Linked DNA regions of Sus scrofa. The protein of the gene in region 1 purifies or fractionates together with the protein of each later gene. This does not show direct contact. Links are inferred from orthologs where the notes say so. Each region holds a gene or a part of one and is shown in the gene's direction. Other genes may lie near its edges.

What was found. The genes of interacting proteins can lie anywhere in the genome.
Region 2: the proteins of AP3M1 (region 1) and AP3B2 purify together in Homo sapiens (co-immunoprecipitation; 3 studies listed by BioGRID and IntAct, counting the BioPlex papers as one, with this or other methods). This does not show direct contact. The link is inferred for Sus scrofa from reciprocal best matches to the Homo sapiens genes AP3M1 and AP3B2.

The regions. Positions count from the first base shown.
Region 1 is NC_010456.5:76,811,818-76,816,498, reverse strand, and holds the end of AP3M1 (AP-3 complex subunit mu-1), read left to right. Parts: intron 1-365; coding exon 366-510; intron 511-1,236; coding exon 1,237-1,337; 3' UTR 1,338-3,336; downstream 3,337-4,681. UniProt on the Homo sapiens protein: Part of the AP-3 complex, an adaptor-related complex which is not clathrin-associated. The complex is associated with the Golgi region as well as more peripheral structures.
Region 2 is NC_010449.5:52,200,901-52,206,175, forward strand, and holds the start of AP3B2 (AP-3 complex subunit beta-2), read left to right. Parts: upstream 1-1,748; 5' UTR 1,749-1,886; exon of another isoform or gene 1,887-2,303; intron 2,304-2,407; 5' UTR 2,408-2,468; intron 2,469-5,275.

The DNA.
Region 1 (4,681 bases):
ATCCCAACCTTGCCTCTAAACTAGCTGTGTGACCTTGAGCAAGTCATTTGACCTCAGGGCCTTAGTTTCCTCACCTGTAAAAAAAAGACAGATTTACAGCACAGACTTCTATAAGATGTGCTATGCGAACAGTGCTAAGCACAGTACTGTATCCAAAAGACGCTCAACAAACATTGGTTCTCTACCCTCACTCCCCATTCAGAGTCACAGAACTAATTAATGATACAATCCGGTGGAAATCCCAGGTCTCTTGGTTTCCAAAACATTGCTTTATTTTTTACACAAGTTTATGGTAACTCTGAACCTTGTCTTTGAACATTTGTCTTTAATAAATAGAGTGTTTTGGGTTTTTATGTCTTTTTAAGGTACTAACGTGGGATGTGGGAAAAATTACTCCACAAAAGCTCCCAAGTCTTAAAGGACTGGTAAACTTACAGTCTGGGGCACCCAAGCCAGAAGAGAATCCAAACCTCAACATACAGTTCAAGATCCAGCAGCTTGCTATTTCAGGTAAGGAGAAGTTTGACTTGCGTTTAAGGGTAATTAGGTTTTGCTGAAGTTAACTATTAGGAGCTTAGAAGGGTAACTGGCATTCACTCTGTAGAAAGAGCAGCAGCTCTCATATGCCTTTCACTCTGCTGTGGGTGGTTTGGAGAGCACCTTATTTCACACAGCTTGCCTTCACCCCTACCCTCAACAAGCACAAAGAAAGGAGTCACTCATACTCATAGAAAGTAGAATTATCCTTAAAAAGACATTCCTTGCCTACATGGGAATCTGAGCTAAAACCATACCCCCATAGTGTCATAATCTATGAATGGTAGAAGAAACATTGCTTCCAAATGGTAGAAGGGGAGTTCTCGTTGCAGTTCAACTGTAGGGAACCCAGCTAGTATTGTTGAGGATGAGGGTTTGATCCCTGGCCTTATTCAGTGGGTTAAATATCCGGCGTTGCCATGAGCTGTGGTGTAGGTCGCAGATATGGCTCAGATCTTGCATTGCTGTGGCTGTGGCGAAGGCTGGCAGCTGCAGCTCTGATTTGATTCCTAGCCTGGGAACCTCCGTATGCTGTGCACATGCCCCTAAAAAGCAACAACAACAACAACAAATGGTAGAAAGGATACTAGTTAATGTCACATTGACTTTGTGGTAAACTGTTTGCTAAGCAAATATTGTATCAGTTTGTGTGGGCAGGATAGTAATTTATTCTTCTCCTTACCTATTCTTTTGACACAGGCTTAAAAGTAAACCGTTTGGACATGTATGGGGAGAAATATAAGCCATTTAAAGGAGTCAAATATGTCACGAAAGCTGGAAAGTTCCAAGTGAGGACATGAGAAGAGGCCAAAATTCCTCAAGATGTGTGTTTTCCAAGTGTCATTACAGTTTATTACTATTAGGTATCAATTGGGTGGGAATACATATTCTAGTTAAAGCATATGTGTCGAGCCACACATCGCTGATAACAAAGTTGCTCAGTAATCAGTGTAGGGTTCTTAAGGAGCATTAAGCTAAGGAAACTTTTGAATGACTTAGCTTATTTGTATCTTTTCACTTAGGAAAATTTTGGAGGCAACTTCCTCCATAGGGAGGCACCAGCTGGAGGCTGCACATTTTAACAGTAAAGGCAAGAGTCTACAAGTGGTAACCTCTCTCCTAAAACAATGAACTGGTCTCAGCCAGCAGGAGCTGTCTTAGTCTGTAATGTCATATATCAAGTGCAGCTAAATGTCTCACTTGATCCTAGCCATCCCAAATCAGCATCTGTCCCAACAAAGGAAAAATTCCCCCCACCCCAAAAAGTTTACAAAAAACTGCCTCTTTGAGTGTTTGCCTTATTCACCTTTTCACTTGTGCCATTAAGCAAGCACTGTAGCAAAAGCCACTCCACATGGCCCTGGCAGGGAACACTGCTGCTCCATGCTCCATTCTCACTGTACTTGGTATTGTATTTTTTATAAATAAGATTTTTTATTAAAGCTCAGATTTTGATTTACAGGGACCTTGCTGCAGTAAGTTCCATCTCAGTTTTATGTCACTTGGTTCAGCTGTTAGCATAGTAAAGATCATTTGTATCAAAGGGGCAAATGCTTTAAGGGAATAAAAGGGAACACTACTTCTGCTTTTAGGAACTTAGTGCAAGCACAAGTATTTGGGATTTTAAGCAAATTAATGTATAAAAGAGAAACTGAAGTGAGCCTTTGCCATCTTCATGTTTTATAAAGCTTATCCAGTACCACTTAACCTAGTTAGCCTCAAGGCCTCATGTCCTGTTCAGCTAAAGTTAGAAAACATGCCTGCCTATCATCTATCTTTTTTTTACTCTTTGATCCTTTTGTTGTTGTTCTGTTGTTTGCCTATTCCTTGTCTTCAGGGGAACTCCCTTTTCCTATTGTGTGCTTCTCAAAACTATAGTTAGTAGACTCCTTCCTGAATCTATTGTAATTTTCACACCAGTACTTTGAACCTTAATGTCTCTACTGTACTGACAAGAGTATGTGTACGTACATTGTAATGAGGTGGAAACAAAATCTTCAGTAACATTGATAAACCTGCATTGATCTTCATGGTTGGCAAGTCAGTCTACAACTGTTATCATTTCATTTAACTCGACTGACTTAGAAGTCCTTACCCAGTTATTTTGTTTCATCAGACCTAAAGAATGGAGAAAGTGAAGATACAAGTGTTTGTTCTTACTTACACTATTAGTTTTCTTCTCCTTGTAACTCCATTCTTTACCTTCTTCTCAACTTATAACTCCCTTTCCCTTATCATGCTAACAGTAGCGCCTACACTCATCCCGTTCTGCTGTCACGGCTAGTGGTTGGTGCTATACAGGGAGCCCACTGTACAGCGGCATTCGTAACCTTTGCCTGCCTAGCGCACCCAGCCCACCTTTCAGCTAATTAGATCACTTTTTGCAGCTTTGCAGTTTCTAGAGTAACCAATATCAGCTTGGCAGCTAAAATCAAGATGTTGACAAATATCTATTCCTTTTGCCTGTAAGATTGGTTACCTGGTTCAGTTGCTTTTCATTTTTACTGTCTTCCTTTTCACAGTTCATACCTCAAAAGAACAGTCAATACATTTGCTTTTCTTTCTGCAGAACCCCTTATCTCAACCTTCCATATATGGACTGTCTAATTTTCTTTCTGTGCTTTCTTCTCATATGCAAGCAGACTGTATGCCAAGAGTCCCTTGCCCCTAGCAATTTCTGTTAAAATTTTCAAGTAGCCTGTTTCCTTTTACAATTAAATTATTGTATTTATTAATTTGATTGAATCCAGTAAGTCCTTTCTCTAGTCCTGGCCATACTGTCAATAAAATGATGAAAGTAATAAGTTGATTTTTTCACTTGACTGTTAATTGAGCATTCTCAGATGGGCATGCCTCAGTGTTAGCACAGGCTGAACATGATCACATATTTCCAATCATCACACAAGGTGCGAGGGTTGCTGCAAAGCACTTCCAAGTGCTGCTCTCTTAACCTCATTATGTTAACAGCCCTGTATACTTTCTCTCAGCATCACCCTCTAGCCACAGACTTAACAAAAAGTGTTCAAAGCTACTCTCCTTACCACCCCCTACTAATAACAAAAACCCATGAATACTTTTGTAGTATTGAAATATTTTTTCAAGAATAGAATTCCACATAATCCCAGAATAGCCCCGTTTTCCAAATTCTTAAAGGAGTACAATCCAAGGGCTTATTTTCTGCATAAAGGATTTACCATCATTTTATTCAAAGGGAATTCATGTGATGGGTTTATTCCTTAAGTGATGCTACAGAAGAATCCTTGGAAGATACTGGTCCTGTTGTCCTTAGAATCATCTGACTTGAGAAAACAAACCATAATGCAGCACGAAGGCAGCACCAGTGAACATGCGGTAAGTTGCAAGAAGACGACCCTGAGTACTATTTTCACATGTTGCTGAGCTAATTCAATAGCCTTAGACATCTCCCTTTAACTCAGATAGGTGGACTCTGCTCCCTCGTCAGCAGCTTTTCCAAGTTAAAGTAGTTACAAATGGAGTCCGCAGTACTATCACACTTAAAGATACTTATCCCTTTTACATCTAGAAAATCAGGCAAAAACAGGTACTTCAAGTACCTGTTCCTACTCTTAGAGCTTCCTCAAGCAAGAAGAGGAACATGTCCCCAAAAGGCAAGCTTTGCCTCATAGTTCTGGTAGATCCCTGATAACCCTATTGTTCTCCATTGGGCTTTGGAATATGAAACCTAGACCTGTGACATTCCTGCACATGTAACAGCTTTAGCTTCTTAGGGTATAGATATGCCCTCCACATATAGTTAGAATCTTCTAAGAAAGACTGCTTCAACCAGGGGATGAGCCCTGTCATCTGGCTGCTTTCCTCTTACTATTAACCTTTGACACTTCTGTTCCTTTTTGTGTGTAATCCTCAAAAGTTGTCCTTTATTACACAGATCTTTGTTAAGTAAATATATTATTGCTGGTTTCTACTTCTAGTATAATATTTGGATTGAATAAAATCCTTTAGTTTTCACACCTTAAGGATTAGTTTCATTGGCTATTCTTCAAAGCCAAGGAGAAACCTAATCTAAAAGTTGTTGTTAAAATAACATACCCATCATTTAGAGAATTATTTATACAAATGTACTTTATTGTTTTAAACAGAACAAAAGAAGAGGCGGAAAATA
Region 2 (5,275 bases), on another chromosome or scaffold:
TCAGCAATGTAAATCTAGTAACAAAATGTGAAGATGAAATATTCAGTACCTGTTACATACCTTTATGCAGAAAGGCCTGGTATTCATAAATATATGCTCACCAAGGAAGACTTACAACTACTTATCATATGAGTTCTCATTATGAATATCTCTGTAAAATTCTGTGGGAATGTTCACCCAAAACACTGTCTGAGTCAGAAACTAGCTATAAAGAACTTATAAGTAGCCCTGAAGTCTAGGTCAGATCCTGTAGATTACAATGCAGTCACACTTCATCTGTCTCCTTAAGTAATACTTGTTTAGTGCTTGTGCTGTTTAAAAGTTTTGTGCATTGTCTTTATTATCTTTCTCATACTATTAGATGGAAAAGTCTTGTAGGAAAGTGGGCAAGCCTAAGAGGTTTAGAAAACAACCCAAACATAAGCCAATATTGAAGAGAAACTGTTTAGTAATCCAAAGAGACAATATGAGGAGTTCCCATTGTGGCTCAGCAGGTTAAGGACCCAACATAGTCTCCAGAGGATGCAGTCTGATCTCTGGCCTCAATCAGGGGGTTAAGGATCCAACCTTGCAGCAAGCTGCAGACTAGGTCGCAGATGCGGTAGGGATTTTGCCCTGGCTGTGGCAGGCCAGTAGCTACAGCTCGCATTCCACCCCTAGGAACTTAACTTCCATATGCTGAGGGTGGGGCCCTAAAAAGAATAAATAAATAAATAGCAAAGATAAATACAAGGCAAAGATAAATAAATAAAAAGCAAAGGAGTTCTCCTCGTGGCCAGTGGTTAATGAATCCGACTAGGAACCATGAGGTTGCAGATTCGATCCCTGTCCTTGTTCAGTGGGTTAAAGAGCCGGCGTTGCTGTGGCTGTGGCGTAGGCCGGCGGCTACAGCTCTGATTAGACCCCCAGTCTGCGAACCTCCATATGCCGCGAGAGCAGCTCAAGAAAAGGCAAAAAGACAAAAATAAATAAATAAATAAAATTTTTTTAAAAATAAAAAGCGAAGGCAGTACGATGTGAAGGAAAGAATTTGGGGTTGGAAATGAAGAAATCTCATTTCTAGTCCTGTTTCTGTCAATAATAATCTGTTTAACTTTCAGCCTGTCTCCTCTCAGACACTGCGCTTAAGAGGAAAGGAGGGGTATGACCTATACAGCTCAGTTCCACCGTAATACCAAATGAACTTGCTGGCTGATTCGGGAAACTTATTACTAACTGAGGGTGTACTTTTTCCAATTAATGCAACATGAGCTGCTGCCTCAAGCCGTCTTACAACGTCTGGGTTTGTACAGAACTTCACGTTACATACCTCATGCAACAAAGGGCATTTCCCATGTGAAATTTCGCCTATTGAAATTTGTTCTTAATCTTTTTGAGTGTGGACTTCTCCCTTCCACATTTATCCCTACGACAGCTCCATGTGCAACCAAGCTCGTTTTTCACACGAAGTTGAGAAAGGTGAGCACAGTGTGTTTGGAATGAGCCCTTCCTCGCTGGTGGCCCTGGCCCGGCGACAGATACCTCGACCCCTCACCTCTACTTCGGTTCCCCGCCGCATCCTCTGAAGCCCTATACTCCAGACTGACTGCCTATAAGGACGCTGCTGTCACCTACCCCGCTGGGTGGCCGGAACTCGGCCTCACTTTACGCCGTGTAAACAACATCCCCTACCGTCTCCGATCTCGGTGGCAATTCCTTCCTCAGCAGGCGGAAAACAGGTCGTTCCGGCTTCCGGGGCGCTGGAGGAAGTCCGGCCCCACGCAACAGCGTGAGGGGGCGGGTCGCGTCGAGGCGCCGCGCAGGCGCGTAAAGGATTAGGCGATGACGCCACTTCAATGGGCTGCTTACCACTCTGTAGGGTCGACTGGAGGCACGCAGTGTGGGAGGTTATTGCTGCTGTGTCCATGGCGGTGGGGACAGGCCTGGGACCCGTTCAGCAGGGCTTGAGAGAGCAGCTTGTAGACTCCATCTCAAAAAACAACCATATTCTCCCAACGGTGTCCTCCGGGAAATCGAAGCCCCTCTGCCCCCAGCTGTCCTCGTTTCTCGCTTCGCTCCACCTCCCCGTGCCGTTTTTAGTACCTTACTATCATTCGTTTATCAATGTGGGTCCATATCTTGTCGCAGTAATGGCTGTCATTTGCTGCATTGGTTGTGCATCTCACAGCAGTAGCTCATAAGTACCTGGTAATTCTTGACTACTGGACTGATGGAAATTTACTCATCCCTTTACCAAGGACAGGATTGAGCGCCTAAGTAGTCCTGAACTGGACTGTGGCTATGGCACTTTGGGGACCGGGAAGGTAAATTAGAAATTAAAATTGCTGTTGTCCTAGTATCCTAGGCTGTCATAACAGAGTAACACAAATTGAATGGTTTAAAACAACAGATATTTGTTCTCTCACAGTTTTGGAAGATGGAAGTCCGAAAAAAAGGGGTCATCAGGATCGTGTTTCCTGTGAGACTAGGTAAAACCCTTACCTTTTCCTAGTTTCTGGTGTGGTCCATCCCACAATCTTTGGCATTCTTTGGCTTGTAGTTGCCTAATTCCATTCTCTTAACTCTGCTCTAATGGTGTTCTATCTGTGTCTTATTTCTGTTTCATAATTAATCATAATTAAGTTCATTTGTATCGGTTTTTTAGATTCCGCTTATAAGTGATATCATATGATAGTTGTCTTTGACTGACTTCACTTAGTATAATAATCTTTACATCCATCCCGTGTTGCTGCAAAAGGAATTATTTCATTCTTTTTATGTCTGAGTAATATTCTCCCTCCCTCCCTCTCTCTCTCTCTCTCTCTCTCTCTCTCTCTCTCTCTCTCTATATATATATATATATATATATATATATATATTTGGTCTTTTGTCTTTTTAGGGCCACACCCATGGCATATGGAGGTTCCCAGGCGAGGGGTTGAATCGGAGCTGTAGCTGCTGGCCAACACCATAGCCACAGCAACAAGGGATCTGAGCCCAGTCTACGAACTACACCACAGCTCACGGCAATGCCAGATCCTTAACCTACTGAGTGGTGCCAGGGATCAAACCCGAGTCCTTGTGGATACTAGTCGGGTTTGTTAACCACTGAGCCACGACTGGAACTCCGAATATTCTATTGTTTATATGTACCACATCTTTATTCATTCACCTGTGATGGACATTTAGTTGCTTCTAAGTCTTAGCTATTGTAAACAGTGTTGCTGTGAACTTTGGGGTGCATGTATCTTTTTGAACTAGAGATTTCCTCTCTTTTGGATATATGCTGGTAGCAGCATGGGATCTCTGGATTATATGGTAACTCTATTTTTAGTTTTTTAAGCAACCTCCATATTGTTCGCCATAGTGGCTACACCAATTTATATTCCCACCAACAGTGTTGGAGGGTTCCCTTTTCTCCACACCCTCTCCAGCATCTGTTATTTGTAGATTTTTTTGTTGATGCCCATTCTGACTAGTGTGAGATGATACCTCATTGTAATTCAACTTGTATTATTAACATCCCCCCTTAATAGCAAAACCTGACAAAAATAGCACAAGGAAAAAAAAAACCTAGAGACTAAACTCACATAGATACAAAGCTCTGAAGTAAAATATCAGCAAATGCACCGGGGTACTCCATTTGAAACAAGAAAGCATTTATGAAATAATTTAATATTAGAAAATCTGTTGCTATGAATTCTGTTAATAATTTAGAAGTTTAAAACTATATCATCATCTCAACTGATAAAATGTCTTAAAAATTTAATATCTAATTTGACTTCAAAGAGAACACTTTCAGGAGTTCCCACTGTGGTGCAGTGGGTTAAGGCTCCAGCATTGCTGCAGCTGTGGCATAAGTTGCAGCTGCAGCTTGGATTTGATCCCTGGCCTGGCAACGTTCATATGCTGAGGGTGCAGCTGAAAAAGAAAAAAAAAAAAAAAAAAAAAAAAGGAGAGAACACTTTCAGCAAAATGGGAATGGATAAATAGCAACTTGATAAAAGGCACCGGAAGTCTCTAGTAAACATTATACATAGTAAGACACTAGAAACATTCCCATTACTCACTTAAAAAAAAAATTATGACTGCACCCCTGGCACATGGAAGTTCTTGGGCCAGGGATCAAACCTGTGCCTCCACAGTGACCTGCAGTTGGATTCTTAATCCATTGCACCATAGTGGGAACTTGGAGACATTCTCATTAAAGTCAGGAAAAAATGAATACCCACTTTCACTACTAACGTTCAGCATGGTGTTAGACTTTTTAACCAATGCAACAAAACAAGATAAAGACAAGAAAAAAAAATTAGGGAAGGAAGAAGTAAAAACATTATTTTCAGATTATATGATCTTCTTTCTAGACGACGCAGGATAATGAAATGACAAACTAAATGGTTCAGCAAGGTGGCTGAATTCAGTATAGAAACTGAAAGTTTTTGGGGTTCCCGTCATGGCTCAGTGGGTTAAGATCCCGACTAGTATCTGTGATGGATGCAGGTTTGATCCCTGGCCTCAATCAGTGGGTTAAGGATCCTGAGTTGTCACAAGGGGCAGCATAGGTTGCAGATGTGGCTTGGATCTGGCATTCCTGTGACTGTGGTGTAGGCGTGCCGCTGCAGCTCTGATTTGACCCCAGCCTGAAAAAACTTAAAATTTTCTTATGTGCTAGTGATAAAATAGGGTTTAAAAAGGAATCCAATCTGAATACACTGCACAAAAGATGTACAAGACTGTTTATAAGAAATAAGAAGTATTGAAAGGCAGGAAGGACTTAAGTAAACAGAGATATTCATGTTCCAGGATGGGAAAATTTAGCAATTTTAAGATAAAAGTTTATGACAAAAGGTTTTGATACAATGCCTATTAAATGCTGATAGGAACTCCGAAGAGCTTTCTTTGTCCAAAGTATATTATTCTTTTGATACACTCCTGGGTTCCATTTATTGATGTTTTATATAGAATATATCTTATTAGTGAGATTGGTATATAGGATTTTTTTGGTACTACATTAATCAGATGTTGGGATTTAAAATTATATGAGATGCCTTAAAATAAATTAGGAAGCATTTCACATTTTTTCTGTGGTCTGAAGTAATTTAAGTAACTTTAGAACTATCTTTTTTAAGGCTGAACAGAGAGCTCAGCTGTGAAATTATGTTATATGAAGCATTGTTATCTGTGGGTTTTAAGCTACTCTCTTCTACGGTAATTGAATTGCCGATCTTTTCTACTTTTTCTGGGATCAGTTATAATTTATACTTTGCTTGGAATCCATTCATTTCTAAAAGATTTT